Linked DNA regions of Oryctolagus cuniculus. The protein of the gene in region 3 purifies or fractionates together with the protein of the main gene of each other region. This does not show direct contact. Links are inferred from orthologs where the notes say so. Each region holds a gene or a part of one and is shown on either strand. Other genes may lie near its edges.

Region 1 (5,525 bases), on a different chromosome or scaffold from region 3:
TTTAACCACCACTGCTGCCTCCAGGGTTTGCACTGGCAGGAAGCTGGAGTCAGGAGCTGGAACTAAGCTTTGAATCCAGAGCTACAACATGGGATCTGAGCATCTTACCTGTAAGCTAAAGATATACCCTTCCTCTGGGATTTTGAATCTACACCTAACAACACAGAGAAATGGAATTGTGGGGATTTTTTTTTTTTTTTTTTTGTGGCAGCAACAGCAGGTGAGATTCTCAAAGGCAGCTATGGTACTAGAGTCAGGGCTAACACCTGAAATGTGGTGCCACAGGTGTCAATGGCAGTATGTGAAGGAGGTGTGGCATCTAATACCAGGCAATGGTGGCAGCAAAGCCTGTGCCATTGGTTCTGTGGTACGGTTTTGCCTGTGAGCCGGGCTGTGCAGCTCTGGCTTGGTCTGGCCACTTTCTGGTCTTGTTTGTTCTCTATGCTTCCTGGGAATTCTGTGAGTCATGGTATCATTAAGAATTTCCTGGTTTACACTGCAATTAGGAGATCTTGAATCTGCCTCACTAGCCAGAAGGAACTTAGACAGGAAAAACAGTGTTTCAATAACTTGTATTCCTTATAAGCCTTAGCAGAGACTATTTGAGTGCATACGTGTGATACTGTGGTTTATCAATACATATTGTGATCTTTGACCTATAAATCTTATTGTTTACTAAGGGATGTAAGACATGTATGAAACAAATCCAATCTGTAAGACAGACTAAAACTAAATGTTGAATTGGGAACCAATTGTCACTTGGCAAGTCTTTCTGAAAGAGATGGGACAGACGGGTAGGGAACCAGAAAGGTCAAGAACAAGTGTGGATGTTCTTTGGCCAATGACTAACCTGACTACAAGGTGGGTCCCTGTCCTGAAGCCAACGAGAGGTACTTTTGAATGGTTAAGCGGTTGTACATTATTAAGACCATGTCCTCGGATCAGAAATGAAGGTATTCTCCACTTACCCAAATAGGGCTTTCCTACATATAGTCTTTAATTTTTTAGAAAAGTTTAGACAGGGCTTATGGAGGAGACGGGATGAAAAGCAGTAAATGAGAAAACCTGATGTTTTAAAAATACTCCACTTTGCATTTGATCTTCCACTATTTTTGGAGTTCACTTATTTTTGTTTAAATAACAATGTTGCAACTGAAAAATTATAGCTGTGCACTGGCAGAGCAAGGGCTGAAGATCATTTTCCCCAGCAGCGTCCAGCCCCGCTGGCTGCTCTTGGCTCTTAAGAACATTCTTGCTCATCAACTTCAGGAAGACTTCCTGGAGTAAAGACGCGTTTGAAAGTGGCTGAAGGCAGTTTTTAGATCTCAGCTTCCTTTGTTTGATAGTGAAATGACCGCGGGCCTGTTACTGGGTTTAAAATCGATCACAAAATGAGGAGGTTTTCATGTTTGTTATTTTTACATTAGGTGAACAGGGACAGACTCGAAAATCACAACCAAGAAGGCAGGCAACCATTAACCACAGGAAACACAGATTTTTTTATTTTTTTCCTCTCTGCCTGCCAGCCTCGCTGTGGATCCCGCGAAGCGGACGCTTTGCTCGGTGGCCTCTTTCCCAGAGCCCGCCGCCGCGGAAACAGTCGGCTGGGACAGTGCGGGCCGCCCGTCTCTTACCTTCCAGGGGCGGTCGGCCTTCTCCCAACCCGCGCCGGCAGCCCCACCGTCCCACCCCTACCCTCTCGCCAGCTTCAGGCCGGGCGGGGACGCACTCCGGCCCGCGGCCACCCTGCCCGGCCGGGCGCTGGCCCCGGCAGTTCCGCGTCTGCGCAGCGGGCGAGGGGCTGGAGCGGGGCCGGCCGGGGAGGCGCAGGATGCGCGGGAGCCAATGGGCACGCTCGGGGGTGCCGGGCTGGCGGCGGCGGCGGCGGCCGGGCGCGCACTCTCGGGATGGAGGGCGAGCGCCGGGCATCTCAGGCGCGCTCCTCGGGCCTCCCGGCCGGGGGCGCCGACGGGGAGAGCCCGGGGGGCGGCGCCCCCTTCGCGGGCAGCAGCGGCTCCTCCGCCCTGCTGCAGTCTGAGGTGCTGGATCTAGACGAGGACGAGGACGACCTGGAGGTGTTCAGTAAGGTGAGGGCGGCGGCGGAGGCGGCGCGTCCCGGGAAAGTTCCGAGGCAACTCCGCGAGTTGTCACCGCTGCGCTGGCGGCTGCCTCCCGCGCGCCCGCCCTCCCCGCGCGGAGGCTCGGGGCTGGAGGTGGGTGCGGCCAGCCCCAGGCTGTGGGACCCCTCCGGGACTCTCTCCTGGCACCCGGGGCTGCGTCCCCGCGGGGTTCCCAACTGTAGCCGCTCCCTTTTCCGCACTTTGACCTTCCGCTCCGCAGGGCCGTGCTCCGTGGAGTGTGCAAAGTTGTGATTTGTTTCGCTCTGCGCTTCGCTGACACGGACATCTCTCGACAGTACCCGTACCCCAGAGGCTGGCGGCCCGAAACTGCCCTCGCCCTTACCAGCTTCTTTTCGGGGGCTGGCCAGCCCTGGACTCCGGGAGAGAGATCAGCTGAGCGAAGAGACATTATTTTGATTTCGTGCTGCTGGTTGTGGATTGGAGACTTGGGTGACACCCGAGGCGTGTCTCCAGTCCAGCGGGAATGGGTGCGAGGCCATCCCCCCAACAGGAGGCGGCGGCTGGAATCAGGCTCACAGGAAGCCCCTGGGCTGCTCAGCCCAGGACTTTGCAGATGGTCGCTGGGGCCACCAAGCCCACAGCCAGCGCTTTCGTTTTGTTTTCCCTTCCTTTCCCACTGGAAGTCTAGTACCACATGCCCTTCCAAGCTTGTGTTAGACTTGCGGGGAAATTGACTTCTTGGCGTTTTCTTGTAGAATTTTGGTGTGGGTAGACTGATGGTTATCATTTCTTAAAGACTTTTGGAAAAGAAAAATGCCAGTGGGGCGGTTGGCTGAAACTCCAGTCTGCAGATGCTGCTTGAAGAAGACTTGAGTTCCGCTCGGAATCTTGTTGTGAAGAAGGCTGTGCAGTAGTCAGATGCTACCCTGAGATGCTGGGTGCAGCAGCCTTCAGACCTCACAGCTGCCCTGGCGATGGGAGAGCCAGCCCAAGTAAGACAGGGAGCACACATATGCTCACTCCCAAAGGAATGTGTGGGATTTATGTTTTCTTAGGGAATAAATGGAATGGTAGGCCCAGTCCTAGTCTAGATTTCAGGGTGTCTGTCTCCTGACTTTTTAGTTTATTTACATCATAAAATAATGCAGTTATTTTACATTGGTTGTAAAAGGTTAACACTGTCTTACATTTCACATATCCTTTATGTTCAGATCTGGGACAATTGGGCAGTTGGTTGATTTCTTCTTCTTTTTTTTTTTTTTTTTTTTTTTTTGCCCTTTAAGTCTGTGGGTCTTACTTCATGGCTATGCATTGGGAAACTGGCAACAGTGTGTGTGTGTGTGCTGGGGGGCGTGGAGTGCTGGGAGTGGCAGTTGTGTATCAGAATCATCTGGAATTGTTTTAACCCTAACCCAATGGGTGGTCTCTCTTAAGAGTCCCAGCCAGCTCTTGAGAATTACTGTGTTCGTGAGGTCAGAGGTGGGCATGGGCGAAGCTGATGAAATTCAAGCTTCCAACTCTTCTTCCCCTGGCCTCTGGCAATGTTTGGAGTTGCTGGAGTTGCGGCTGTTTTAGGTGGAATGGACAAGCCAGGTTGCAACCAGGAGCACTTCTGATAAATCACCTAAAGCTGCCTCAGAGTAGGAAATCTAGATCTGCATGGTCAGGTTCATCTATTGAGATTTCTAAGTAAAATTTGGTTTTTCTGCCAAATTTTGTATTCTTTTTAAAAGAGAGCCTCAGGCTAGTACAGCTGGATCTACCTTGCTTGTTCATGTTGTATAACTTAAACTGGCCATGTAGATTGAGCTAAGGGCATAATAGTGTTCAAAGTTTGGAAAGGTCACTGTATTTGAGAAACTTTAAAACTGACCATCTACTTATGTTACAGTAAGTTAAGAATTTCAGCCATAAACCATCGTTAGACAAGCAAATGCAAGGCAGTCTCCATTTGCCTATCCTTTCCTCTTCCCACTTTTTAGCCTGCTTCTCTCTAGAAGTCCACTGCAGTCAGTCCACCCAAGGATATTAATTAACAATTGTTTATGTAGCAGTCTGTTTCTGTCCTCAAGTACTTTAACATCCACCACTTTCATATTCAGTTTGCATTCACATTTGTAGCCTCTTTATTCCCTTAGATGGGGTAGGTACAGTCTGGCCCATGGGCCATGTAAGGCCTGCAGAATCCTTTGGTCTGGCCCTGTCAAGGCAACCGTAGGTGGGAGTCGAAATTCAACTAATCTATAGCGGGCTAATTTTTAAAAAATTTATATTTACTCATTTATTTGAAAGGCAGAGAAAGACAGAGAGAGAGATCTTGCATGTGTTGTTTCACTCCCCAAATGGCCAAAGCAATCAGGGCTGGACCAGGCCAAAGCCAGGAGCCAGAAGCTTCTTCTAGGTCTCCCATGGGAGTTTGGGGACCTAAGGACTTAGGCCATCTTCCATGGCTTTCCCAGGCTCATGAGCAGGGAGCTTGATAGGAAGTGAAGCAGCTAGGACCTGAACCGGCACCATATGGGATGCTGGCACAGCAGACAGAGGCTTAACCTGCTATGCTGAGGAGCCGGCCCCAATAGCAGGGTAACTTTTAAGTCGATAATTTTGCATGGCCTATGAATGATATGAATATCAAAATGGCCCCAGGCAGAAAAAACATTCCCTGCTCCTCCTTTAGATGATTTGTAAAAGTATTTCTGTTATCCTCCTCCAGACTTTTTAAAAGAATATGAACTTTGCTTTATTATTCCTTTTCTTCCTACAATACATTAGAAATACATAGTTTTATAAAATATGTTGTGCTATGTGTTCTTAGAAAAACATGCAAGATTCAATTCTGGCTATCACAATCTGGCAATTTAGGGGAGAAGACAGTCTAAATGGCCCTAGAAGTGAAGATGAATGGAAAGTGTAACCAAATGGTGTTTTGAGTTTGCAAATAATCCACTGAGGAGAGAATGATGTCAAACTCAGGAGACCTGCAGATGCTATTGATTTGAAAGAGTAAGTATAGATGTTAGAAGGGAGGAGAAGATGACTGGTGATCTAGAAACAATAAAACACATGAAGAGAAAAAAGATATAAATAGTGGCATATTAAAGACTTGTGTAAGAACTAGGCCAAAGTGAAATGAGGCTTAGAAAAATTTAACTAGAGAAAAAGGGCCAGTTTCATTATACTTCAAGGAAAACATTTTCCTTTTGGGGAAAATAATATATCAAGATAACACGAATTGCTTTATTTTTATTATACACTGTAATGTGTAGCAAAAGCAGCAGTTGAAACACAGCTTACCTACATAGATCATAATGGGCACTATCATGCTTTTCTGGTGCTCAGTAAAGGGTAGCTCCTGTTATTGGTCTCTTTAAAGGTCCTGTGGACCATAAAGTGAGATTTGGTTATCAGGGACTTTATGCATGTAATCTTCCTCATCACAGCTGC
Region 2 (5,489 bases), on a different chromosome or scaffold from region 3:
GGTGAACTTGCTCATGGTCACTTTAGCGATGAAGCAGGAATTCAAATATAGGTCTCTCTGCCCCCTCCCTTTTTTTCTGGTGTCTTGAGGAGAAAGGTGTGTGCATTTTTTTAAAATGTAAGATTTATCGAGCCGGCGCCGTGGCTCAATAGGCTAATCCTCCACCTTGCAGCGCCGGCACACCGGGTTCTAGTCCCGGTTGGGGTGCCGGATTCTGTCCCGGTTGCCCCTCTTCCAGGCCAGCTCTCTGCTATGGCCAGGGAGTGCAGTGGAGGATGGCCCAGGTGCTTGGGCCCTGCACCCCATGGGAGACCAGGAAAAGCACCTGGCTCCTGGCTCCTGCCATCGGATCAGCACGGTGCGCCGGCTGCAGCGGCGGCCATTGGAGGGTGAACCAATGGCAAAGGAAGACCTTTCTCTCTCTGTCTCTCTCTCTCACTGTCCACTCTGCCTGTCAAAAAAAAAAAAAAGATTTAAAAAAAAATGTAAGATTTATCTTATTTGAAAGGCAGAATAACAGAGAATGAGAGAGAGAGATAGGGAGGGAGAGATCTTTCATCAGCTAGTGCACTCCCCAAATGGCTGCAAAAGTGATGGTGGTTGGAACTTCATCTGGGTCTCCCACGTGGGTGGGTGGCAGGGGCTCAATACTTGAGCCATCACCTGCTGCCTCCCACGGTGCACATTAGCAGGATGTCGGGACTGGAACCCAGGCACTCCGACGTGGGCTATGGGCAACCCAACCAGTGTCTTAACCGCTAGGCCAGATGCCTGCCTGGTGCTGTATATTTTAGTGCTAATTCAGTGGTGGTTTGTAAACTGCCCCGGAATCTAAAAGCTCTGACAGTTTTACCCAGCTCCAAGAGGCCCAGATGCCAGCATGCCTGTGAGCCAGATGCAGCACTTAACATTGTTCCCAGCACCTTCTTTTCCCAGCCATGGCAGACCACGTGGGAGACATAAACCAACACAGTTTGAAGGCTACAGGTCCAACTGCCTGAAGCAGACCGGGAGAGATCCAGGGAGGTCTTTGAAGCTCAGTGAGTGACTGTATATTGGGTCAGTTTCTACTTTGTCTGCAGAGACAAAGTGAGGTGGCAGAAGGAGGTGAACGTACTACACCCCAAAGAGCTGGAAGTAATGCCCGGACATCCTCCACCAGGCCAGCAAGTAAAGCTGATTAAGCAGCTCAGCCAAAGGCCTGGGAAGGAAGCAGAACAAACAACTTGAGCTTAGCAGTCTAAGTCTAGGAGTCATAAGTCATCGGTAGCCCTTTCTCCTTTCTCGTTCTTTATTGATGCGGATCTTTACAGCGGAGGAAGCAAGGTGGCCTGGGGGCGTTCCCCGGCTCCTTTGACCCTCATGACCCTTGAGCCTTCTATCTTGGGTCCCTTCTGCACGTGCAACAGGGGCCAGGACACCTCCACTCCCGGGCCCACCAAGCCCTGGGCCCCAGGCGTGGCTGCCGCGGGCGAAATGGAACAGGATCCTTCCACCGGGGATTTCCGTTAAACATTTGCCCTGGGGGCTTCGCTCAGCCTGCACCGAGCCAGCCTCCCAGCCGGGCGAGCTGGACGCCCGGAGGTCCGCGGCCCGGGGCCCAGCGCGCACTTCCTGCCGGGCGCCGGGCGGGGGCGGAGCCGCGCGTCTCCCCGCCCCCTCCCGGGCGGCTGAGACGCCAGGGGGCGGGGCCGCGAGCGGGTGGTGGGCGGCGTGGCGGGGTGGGCCGGGCGCTGGGGCCAAGGTGCCGGCGGACCCGCGGCGGGCGCGGGCGCGAGCGCGGAGCGGGGGCGCGCGGCGCGCAGCGGCCCAGCAGCCTGGCAGCCCAGCCCCGCGCGGGCAGAGGCGAGCGGCGGGCAGCGGCTGCCAGCCCCAGCAGTGCAGGGCCTCCGACCGAGCGGCGGCTGAGCGGGGCCTCGGCCCCGGGGCGCGCGGGGAGCTGTCGGCGCGTCCCAAACGGCGCTTGCCATGGCGGGCGGGCCCCCCAAGGCCCTGCCGTCCACGGGGCCCCAATCCCTGCGAGACGTGCAGCACCCGCTGGCCGGCTCCAGCAGCGAGGAGGCCATGGGCGGCGACAGCACGCCCAGCCCGGACCTGCTGATGGCCCGCAGCTTCGGTGACAAGGTGGGGCTCACGGGGCTGGGGACCGTCCGGGGCAGGGGGTGGGGGCAGAGATGATGGATCCGCAGCCACCTTGGGCACGGGGTCGCGCCCAGCGTGGCGCGCCCCTTTCCGGAGGACGGGCGTACGCTCGCCCCCGGAGCGCCCGGGTAAAGCATCTTTGTCGCCCCCCGTGGGGTCGCGGTCGCAGGCGAGGGGGGAGCGGCCGGAGAGGACGCTGCCGTGGCTGAGTCGGGGCGCGAGCGCCGGTGACAGCTGCTGGGGAGGGGTCCAGCCTGCGCGTGGGGGCGGAGACGTGTGTGCGTTGCGGGGCGCGCGTCCTGGGTGGGAGCCGAGCTGCCGAGGGACTTGGGGCGCCTCCAGTTCCCCGACTCCGCGGCTGTGTGCCTGCGGGAGCCTCCTCCTGCCCGGTGGGTAGTGTGTGGAGTGATCTTTGTTTAGTTTGCTGTTTGCCCTGGCGGTCACCTGACCCAGACCCGGCTGGCGAGGCTGTCTGTGGTTTTCCGTCTGGGGCTCCCTTGGTCTCCGACGGCCTACGCCTACCGCACAATTTAGGTTTGGCCGGGGCAGGTTTTGTGGTTGAGGGAAAGAAAGCTCGCCCTTTGACCTTCTTTGTGCACGGGGAGGCCCCTGATGGTCTCAGCACCGCACAGCTGCCCTGCTGCTTTGAGGGGCAAAGGGCAAGGGGCGGCATCTCCCTGCCCCCCCTTGCCAGTTCAGCGATTGTGTCGGGGCTGCTGCTGCTCCTAAGTCAGCCTGGTCCCCAGCACTTCCGCGTCCTGGCCGAATTCTCAGTGAATTCCTCCTTGTCCAGTGTTCCTAGGATCAAGGGAGCTGTGACTTCGTTCTCTCCTGAGATGTAAAGGTGTGTGATACGGCAAAAACGAGTCTGAGAAAATAAAACCCGATAGCCTTACAGCCCCAAGGGCTCTGGGCGCTCAGACTAACTTGCGAGTGGCTTCCCAGAGGGTTTGTGAAAGCAAAGAATTAAGAACAAGAAAACTCAAAAGGCACGTGAAACTGTTGGCTTGAGCAACTCAAGGAGTGTGTGTGTGTGTGTGTGTGTGTGGCTATTACTCTTTATAGAAGATTATAGGCTACCATATGAAGGCTTATGTTGGTTGGAAGTGTCTTGCTCCTAGCTGATGTTCAAAAAGTTAATTGTTGAATGACTTGAATCATTGGTTGCTTTCCTATGGACAGAGAAACTGGTCTTACATGAGTGTAGGATGGGAAGTGGAGTGAAATCTTCTGATTTTCTGTTCTGTGTAGGGTGGTGTGTTGATGATCCATTGCTGTGTGCTGAGTTACTCTGCAGCTTAGCACCGGAAAAGAGCACCTGCGGGTCAGACAGCTGGGCGCAGGTTCCCCAGACTCAGGGCGCCCCGGTGGCTGTAGTCATTTGGGCTGGACTGGAGGAGGATCTTCTTCCAAGCTCCCTGGTGGCTCTTGGCAGGCCTTACTCTCCATAGGGCTGTTCCACTTGGCAGCTGATTTCCCCCAGAGTGATCCAAGAGAGCCCAAGACTCCAACCAGTCTTGTATAACCTAGCCTTGGAAGGGGGTACCTCTGCCGTGTCTTGTCCGTCACACAGACCAGTGCTGGTGCCATGGGGAAGAGTGTGAATACTTGGACTTGACTGCCAGGGGTTGGGGATCACGGGGCCGTGGTGAAGGCTGCCATACGGTTGGCTGTTTTACACATTCGCTTGATGCCGTGCTGTTGGATGACACCTGACTCGAAGGACGGACATTTAATTGCTTAGAGACAAACGCCCCGTACCACCAAAATCTGGTTGGTCCGTGGGAAGTGAGGCCCATTCTGTATCCTGATACTTTCCTTTGCAGGATCAGTTCTGGGAGAGACGCTCTTGTAGGCATTATTATTAATTACTGAATATTTAATAAGGCTCCTAATAGCTATGGAGAGTGTCTTGTAGACACCGGTCTCAGAGGTCTGATTTATAGCAAGCCACTTTCCCTTAGGGGCAAGCATGGTAATTTCTTTCTCTGAGGGGAGTAACATTTTCCTTGAGTTTTGGCATGCACATGCGCTCTTGCGACTCTGGAGCAACGCCTGTGGAGAGAAGCTAGCGCGCTCCAGAGGTGACTCACAGCGGTGGAAGGAAGTGCTGTACGCCTGGCTTTCTCTTTCCTAGGGAGTGTGGGGTCCTCAGGGGGCCGGTCGGAAAGTCATTGTCGGTCTTCGGAAAAAAGCCTTGTTGGACTTTGGGGGTTTGTGATCCTGGATGACTGGCTTTCAGTGTCAATTCAGTTCTGGGAGAGCATGAGTATCTTTATCCAAAGGCTGCTCATGGGTTGGGATGGTTACGCGGAGGGAATTGCTTTCTGTGGCCTGGGATGGTGCCATGAACAGGGTGGCCCTGCGTATTGATTTGGCTGACACCCCGGTTGGCCTTCGCGGTGCTTGGGTAGGAGAGAAAGACCGCATGTGATGGACTTTCCGCCGGCCAGCTTCTCAAGTCATTCAAATCCTCGTGTGACGGGAGGAATGCTTTTTATCTGCCAAGTGTTGCCAAGACTGATTCTTTGATGCCAGCTAACTCACCAGGCCGTCTATCACTGCATCTTCCCCCTCCCCCTACAATATAAATAAATCACTTCGGCCCCAGCTCTTCTCCTGTGACTCAGCTCCAACTTCTGTTTGCCTCCCAACACTTGATACCTGAGCCCTGCTCTGTGGTTACCACCTCTTCCCGCATCCGTTACCTCTTAAGCCTGCAACCAACTTCCCACCCCTTCGGTCTCCTGGACTCCCCCTGAAATCTTTGAAATGGCTGTGTGCTTTCCTCTTAAAGCTTCTGCCTTCATCACCCACTTCCTTTTTGTTTTATTTAAAAAGTGGGGGGAAGGGGAGAGATCTTGCATCTGCTGGTTCATTCCCCAAATGGTCGTAACAACCAGGACTGGGCCAAGCCAGAGCCAAGAACCTGGAGCTCAATCTGGTCTCCCACAAGGGTGACAGGGACTCAAGTATTTGAGCCATCATCAGCTCATTTCCAGACATACTAGCAGGGAGCTGGGTTAGCAGCCAGAGTAGCAAGGACTTGAACCCACGCACTCCAGTGTGGGATGTGGGTGCTTTTAGCAGTGACTTACATGCTGTGCCAAACATCAGCCCCCTCCTAGACTGCATTTCTTATGGCCCCATGTTATCAGGTCAGGTAACCCGTTTGGTCCTGAGCGGAGAGAATTCTGGGAGCTTTCCTTGGGGGGAGGGCTGGGACCACCTGGAAAGTTATCAGGATCAGGGCAGGACTTTGACCTGCAAAATGCTGGGCTTCTGGAGCTTCCACAGTAGGTGCTGGTCTGCAGGTCCTTCTTGCACACACAGAGGCTTATTTTTTA
Region 3 (5,421 bases):
GGACTAGAACCCGGTGTGCTGGCACTGCAAGGCGGAGGATTAGCCTAGTGAGCCGCGGCGCCGGCCAGTAAACCTTTTTTAAAAAGAGTTTAAGGGGCTGGTGCTGTGGCGCAGCAGGTTAATGCCCTGGCCTGAAGCATCGGCATCCCATACGGGTGCAGGTCCGAGACCCGGCTGCTCCACTTCCCATCCAGCTCTCTGCTGTGGCCTGGGAAAGCAGTAGATGATGGCCCACAACCTTGGGCTCCTGCACCTGTGTGGGAGACCAGGAAGAAGCTCCTGGCTCCTGGCTTCAGATCGGCGCAGCTCCTGCCATTGCAGCCAATTAAGAAGTGAACCATTGGATGGAAGACTTCTCTCTCTCTCTTTTTGCCTCTCCTCTCTCTGCATAACTCTGACTTTCAAAAAAAATAGTTTAAAAAAATTGGGGACTGGCATTGTGGTGTAGCAGGATATACCACTGGTGATGCTGACATCCCATACAGGAGTACCGGTTCTAGTCCTGGCTATTCTGCTTCTGATCCAGCTCCCTGCTAATGTACCTGGGAAGGCAGTGGAAGATGGCCCATGTGTTTGGATGCCTGCCACCCACCTGGGAAATGCATATGAAGTTCCTGTCTCCTGGCTTTGGCCTGGTCCAGACCTGGTTGAGGTAGCCATTCAGGGAATGAACCAGCAAATGGAAGACACTTCTTTCTCTGTCACTCTGCCTTTCAAATAAATAAAATGCATCTTTAAAAAATTATTTTAGGGGCCAATGCTGTAATGCAGTGGGTTCAAGCCATGGCCTGCAGCACTGGCATCCCGTATGGGCACAGGTTCAAGTCCAGCTTCTCCACTTCTGATCCAGCTCACTGCAAATGTGCCAGGGAAAGCAGAGAATGGCCCAAGTGTTTGTGCCCCTGCACCCCTATGTGGGAGACTTAGAGGAAGCTCCTGGCTCCTGGCCTTGGCCTGGCCCAGCCCTGAGAGTTGTATCGATTTGCAGAGTGAACCAGCAGATGGAAGATTTCTCTCTCACTCCCTCCTTTCTGAAACTCTGCCTTTCAAATAAATAAATCTTTAAATATTTTTTAAAAAAATCAAATAGCTTTATAGTGTGATCCCATTTTTACTGTATATATGTATATATTTGTATGTATATATAATACTTGAAGGGATATATATTAAATGTCATCAGGGTTGGGCCGACGCCTGCAGCTCTGGCATCCCACATGGGCATTGGTTCTAGTTGCAGCTGCTCCTCTTCTGATCTAGCTCTCTGCTATGGCCTGGGAAAGCAGAAGATGGCCCAAGTCCTTGGGCCCCTGCACCCATATGGGAGACCAGGAGGAGGCTCCCGGCTTCGGATTGGCACAGCTCTGGACATTGCAGTCACTAGGGGAGTGAATTAGTGAATCAAAGACTTTCCCCCCCACCCCACCCCCCGCTGCCTCTCTGTAGCTCTGACTTTAAAATAAATAAATAAATCTTTAAATAACAATAATAATAATTGGAGTCCAGGCAGGGGCCGAGAGGGGGGATGGTCGGACCACAGCCTTCAGCTTCCTCTGCGTCCACGGAATGGTTCCCATGCCTGCTTCTGGTGTTCACCTTCCCTGCTTGTTTCTCTCTCTCTCTGTCTTCCCTACCTCTACGAGTTCTCCTAGATTTCTGATTCTCCTGACTCGGGAGCCAAACGCTTCCTCCACCGGCCCATCTGTCACCAGTCCCGCTCGGGGAACGCACCCGGGTCGCGCCCCCCCTGGGGCGGGCCGGGAGGGGCGGGGCGGCGGCGGCCCCGGCGGCGGCGCAGGCGCACTGGGCTCGGCGCGCGGAACTGCAGCCATGGAGCAGGCACCTCCGGACCCCGAGCGGCAGCTGCAGCCTGCGCCCCTGGAGCCGCTAGGCAGCTCCGACGCTGGGCTGGAGGCTGCGGTCGGGGAGGGCGCGGACGGGGCCAAGGAAGAGGGCTCCGGGGCCGACACGGTGAGGAGGAGGGCGGCCGAGGCCTCGGGGCCTGTGTCTGGGCCTAGCGGGCTGGGCTGGGCAGGGCAGGGCTGGGCTGGCGGAGGCTGAGGGCTTCGGCCCGGGGGGCCGCTGTGCTGGGGCTGCGGGGCCGCAGCTGCTGTGGGCGGAAGGCTCAGTGGGGACTGGGGACCCCTGGGGTGGGGGGCGAGCGTCGGCGCTGCGGGGACCCAGGGCAGGGGACGTGGGGGTGCGGCGCTGGGGCGCTGAGGCTGGAGGGGCGTGGGTTTCAGCGGTCGAGAGAAGGGCAGGCGTGGAGTTTCAGGGGCGGTGGGTTTGTGGGGGCTTGAGAGGGGAGGGGTTGGGGAGTGGGATGAGGCGCGCATCTCGGGGCTCTCAGGGTGGTTGGCCCGGTGCTACCGCCCATCAGGAAACTGAAGAACGGGTCAGGTTCAGGAGAAGATAAAATTGAAGGCACATTTTCCAAACACCTCATTTGGCTTTAATTTCTTGAATTGGGGGCGTGATTTGGAGGCTCCTCGGTGTTCCGTGTGTGTAGCCGCTTGGGACAGTTCCTGTGGTGGTGATTTTCATTTGCTAGAAAGTAAAAGGGGAAAAACGTACCGTCTTAGATTTGTAAGCGCTTCCGGTCCAAAGTGTTTTTCACGTACGTGGCGGGATTTGCAGACCACCGACCCGGAGGCTCCTGCCTTGGGCATTGCTCATCCAGTCATTTTGGGTTTTTCTTGATCGAATGGCGGGCCCCATGTTAAACTGCCCATCCGTGTGATGGATAAAGCAAAGCTGTTCATTGGATGTAGCTAGGAGGCCTCTTCGGCTTGCCACGGATTTCAGCTGAAACAGGAGTTAAAGATTTGGCCTACTGAGGAAAATACCAAGGTAGGGAGAGGAGCAGGAAGACTTGTTTACGGTATGATATGCTTGTAATTTTTCTTTAGGTTAAAAACCCATTTTTTTAAAGGAGTGCTTAGGTTGGCAGCAGCAAAAATGAGAGAACGGTGTTGAGATGCCCACATGCCCCCTGCCTGGCGGGGGGGTACTGAGCCTTCTGCAGGGGCCCAGCCCACAACCAAGTGTGTGAGTGTGCTTTTGTTCCCTCGCTGGCAGGCCTTATCACTCCAGGTCCACAGTTTACATTAGTGCTGACTCCTCGTGTTGGACAGACCTTACCCGTGTCCACCATTGCAATAGCCTCTCTCTCTTCATTGCCATGAAGATCCTCTGGGCTCTGCCTGTTGGTTGGTCTTTCCCCTCAACTGCTGGCAACCACTGATCTAACTGTTTCCGTAGTTGTGGCTTTCCCAGTCTGCCAGGGAGCTGGACTCATACTGAGATTGGCATCTTTCACTTTGTAGTGAGCATTTGAGGTCCCTCATGGCTTTTCATAGCTGAGTAGTTCTGTTCTTTTTAGCACTGAGGAATCGTCCGTTGTCTGCATGTACCAGTTTGTTTATCCATTCACTTACTGGGGTACACCTTGGCACTTTGGAGTTTTGGCAGTTAGGAATAAAGCTGCTGTAAACGTGTGTGTGTACAGGTTTCTGTGTGGACATAAGTTTTTAACTCCTTTGGGTGAATGCCAAGTAGCGTGATCACTGGGTCATTTGGTACCAGCATGTTTTTTGGAGAAGCTGCCAACTTGACTTTACCTTCCCACCAGAGATAAGTGAGAGTTTGTGTTCTAGACATCCTCATCAGCCATTGGTGTTGTCGGTGTTCTCGACTTGGGCCACCGTGGATGGGGATTTCCGTGTTTTGATTGCGTTTCCCTGAGGACAGCTGATGGGGACCATCTTTGTGTGGGCTTGTTTGCTATCTGTGAATCTTTGGTGATGTGTCTGGTAGGAAGGACTTTTGCCCCTTCTAAAAATTAGGTGGTTTTTCTGTTGTTGAGTTTTACCTTTCCATTTCATTTTTCCCTAAATTTTAGAATTATTTGTGGAGTGGTCAAAGGATCTCATATTAAATGTGAGAGAAGTGTATATTCTGTCAGTGCATAAATTTGACTGTTACATGATTTTTTAATGTAGATTCTCACCCATGACATAATCTTTCTTTTGAAAATAGTGTGCATTCAAATTATATCAGTATGCAAACAAGGCTGTCACAAAATAATTAACAGTTCCTTTGAAGACTCCATCCATTCTCTTGTATTCCAGCTCCTTTCCTCCACCACAGTTAACCAGTATTCTAACTTTTTAAAATTTTATTTATTTATTTTTAAAGATTTATTTTTTTGAGAGCTAGAGTTGCAGACAGAGAGGGAGAGACAGAGAGTAAGGACTTCCATCTGTTGGTTCACTCCCCAAATGGCCGCAATGGCTGGAGCTGGGCAGATCCAAAGCCAAGAGCCAGGAGCTTCTCTGGGTCTCCCACACGGGTGCAGGGGCCCAAGCACTTGGGCCATCTACTGCTTTCCCAGGCCATAGCAGAGAGCTGGATTGGAAGAGGAGCAGCCAGGACACAAACCAGTGCCACGTGGGATGCCGGTGCAGCAGGCAGAGGCTTAGCCCACAAAACCATAGTGCCTACCCAGTATTCTGAATTTTGTGCTGGTTAATTCTTGCTTTTGGTTATTATGTTTCCATATGTATCCCTAAACAGTGTATGAGGAGGTCTTCAAAAAGGTAATAGAAAATGTATACTGTGAGAAAACTGCATGGATTTCAATTTCTTTTTTTTAATCAAATCTAAATTCTATTTTTTTCCACAAACTTTTTGAATTATTTAGGTTTTTGCTGATTTTTGAGACTACATATGTGGATTCATTTTTCTGTGATTCCCTTTCCTTTGAGATTCGTCTAAAATGTGGTTTAGTTTGTTTTCATGACTGCAGCCTGCCACTTTGTAGATATTCCTTTTTTTTTTTTAAATAAATCTCACACTTACAATTTTTTTAACTTATTTATTTGGAAGGCAAAGAGACAGAGAGACATCTCATCTGCTGTCTTACTCCCCAGATGCCCACAACAGCCAGCACTGGGCCAGGCTGAAGCTCAGAGACAGGAAGGGTGGCAGGGACCCAAGTACTTGAGCCATCACCTGCTGTGTCCCAGAGTGGGCATTAGCGGGAAGCTGGAATCAAGAGCAGGGCCAGAAGATCAGTTTAGTATACATTAAGTAAAGATTTCAACCGTTTGCACCCCCATAGAAACACAAAGTGAAATATACTGTTTGAGTACTCGTTATAGCATTAAGCCTCAATGTACAGCACATTAAGGACAGAGATCCTACATGAGGAGTAAGTGCACCGTGACTCCTGTTGTTGACTTTACAAATTGACACTCCTGTTTATGGCATCAGTAATCTCCCTATGCACCAGTCATGAGTTTCCAAGGCTATGGAAGCCCCTTGAGTTCTCCGACTCTTATCTTGTTTAGGCAAAGTGGAGGTTCTCTCCTCCCTTCAGAGAAAGGTATCTCCTACTTTGAAGACCTGTTCTTTCCACTGGGA

What was found. The genes of interacting proteins can lie anywhere in the genome.
Region 1: the proteins of SNX4 (region 3) and SNX7 purify together in Homo sapiens (affinity purification with mass spectrometry; 3 studies listed by BioGRID and IntAct, counting the BioPlex papers as one, with this or other methods). This does not show direct contact. The link is inferred for Oryctolagus cuniculus from reciprocal best matches to the Homo sapiens genes SNX4 and SNX7.
Region 2: the proteins of SNX4 (region 3) and SNX30 purify together in Homo sapiens (co-immunoprecipitation; 4 studies listed by BioGRID and IntAct, counting the BioPlex papers as one, with this or other methods). This does not show direct contact. The link is inferred for Oryctolagus cuniculus from reciprocal best matches to the Homo sapiens genes SNX4 and SNX30.

What each region holds. Positions count from the first base shown.
Region 1 is NC_091438.1:71,810,481-71,816,005, reverse strand, and holds the start of SNX7 (sorting nexin-7), read left to right. Parts: upstream 1-1,853; 5' UTR 1,854-1,907; coding exon 1,908-2,087; intron 2,088-2,463; exon of another isoform or gene 2,464-3,115; intron 3,116-5,525. UniProt on the Homo sapiens protein: Involved in the regulation of endocytosis and in several stages of intracellular trafficking. Together with SNX4, involved in autophagosome assembly by regulating trafficking and recycling of phospholipid scramblase ATG9A.
Region 2 is NC_091432.1:216,286,533-216,292,021, forward strand, and holds the start of SNX30 (sorting nexin-30), read left to right. Parts: upstream 1-1,817; 5' UTR 1,818-1,968; coding exon 1,969-2,124; intron 2,125-5,489. UniProt on the Homo sapiens protein: Involved in the regulation of endocytosis and in several stages of intracellular trafficking. Together with SNX4, involved in autophagosome assembly.
Region 3 is NC_091435.1:81,847,372-81,852,792, reverse strand, and holds the start of SNX4 (sorting nexin-4), read left to right. Parts: upstream 1-1,787; 5' UTR 1,788-1,827; coding exon 1,828-1,968; intron 1,969-5,421. UniProt on the Homo sapiens protein: Involved in the regulation of endocytosis and in several stages of intracellular trafficking. Plays a role in recycling endocytosed transferrin receptor and prevent its degradation.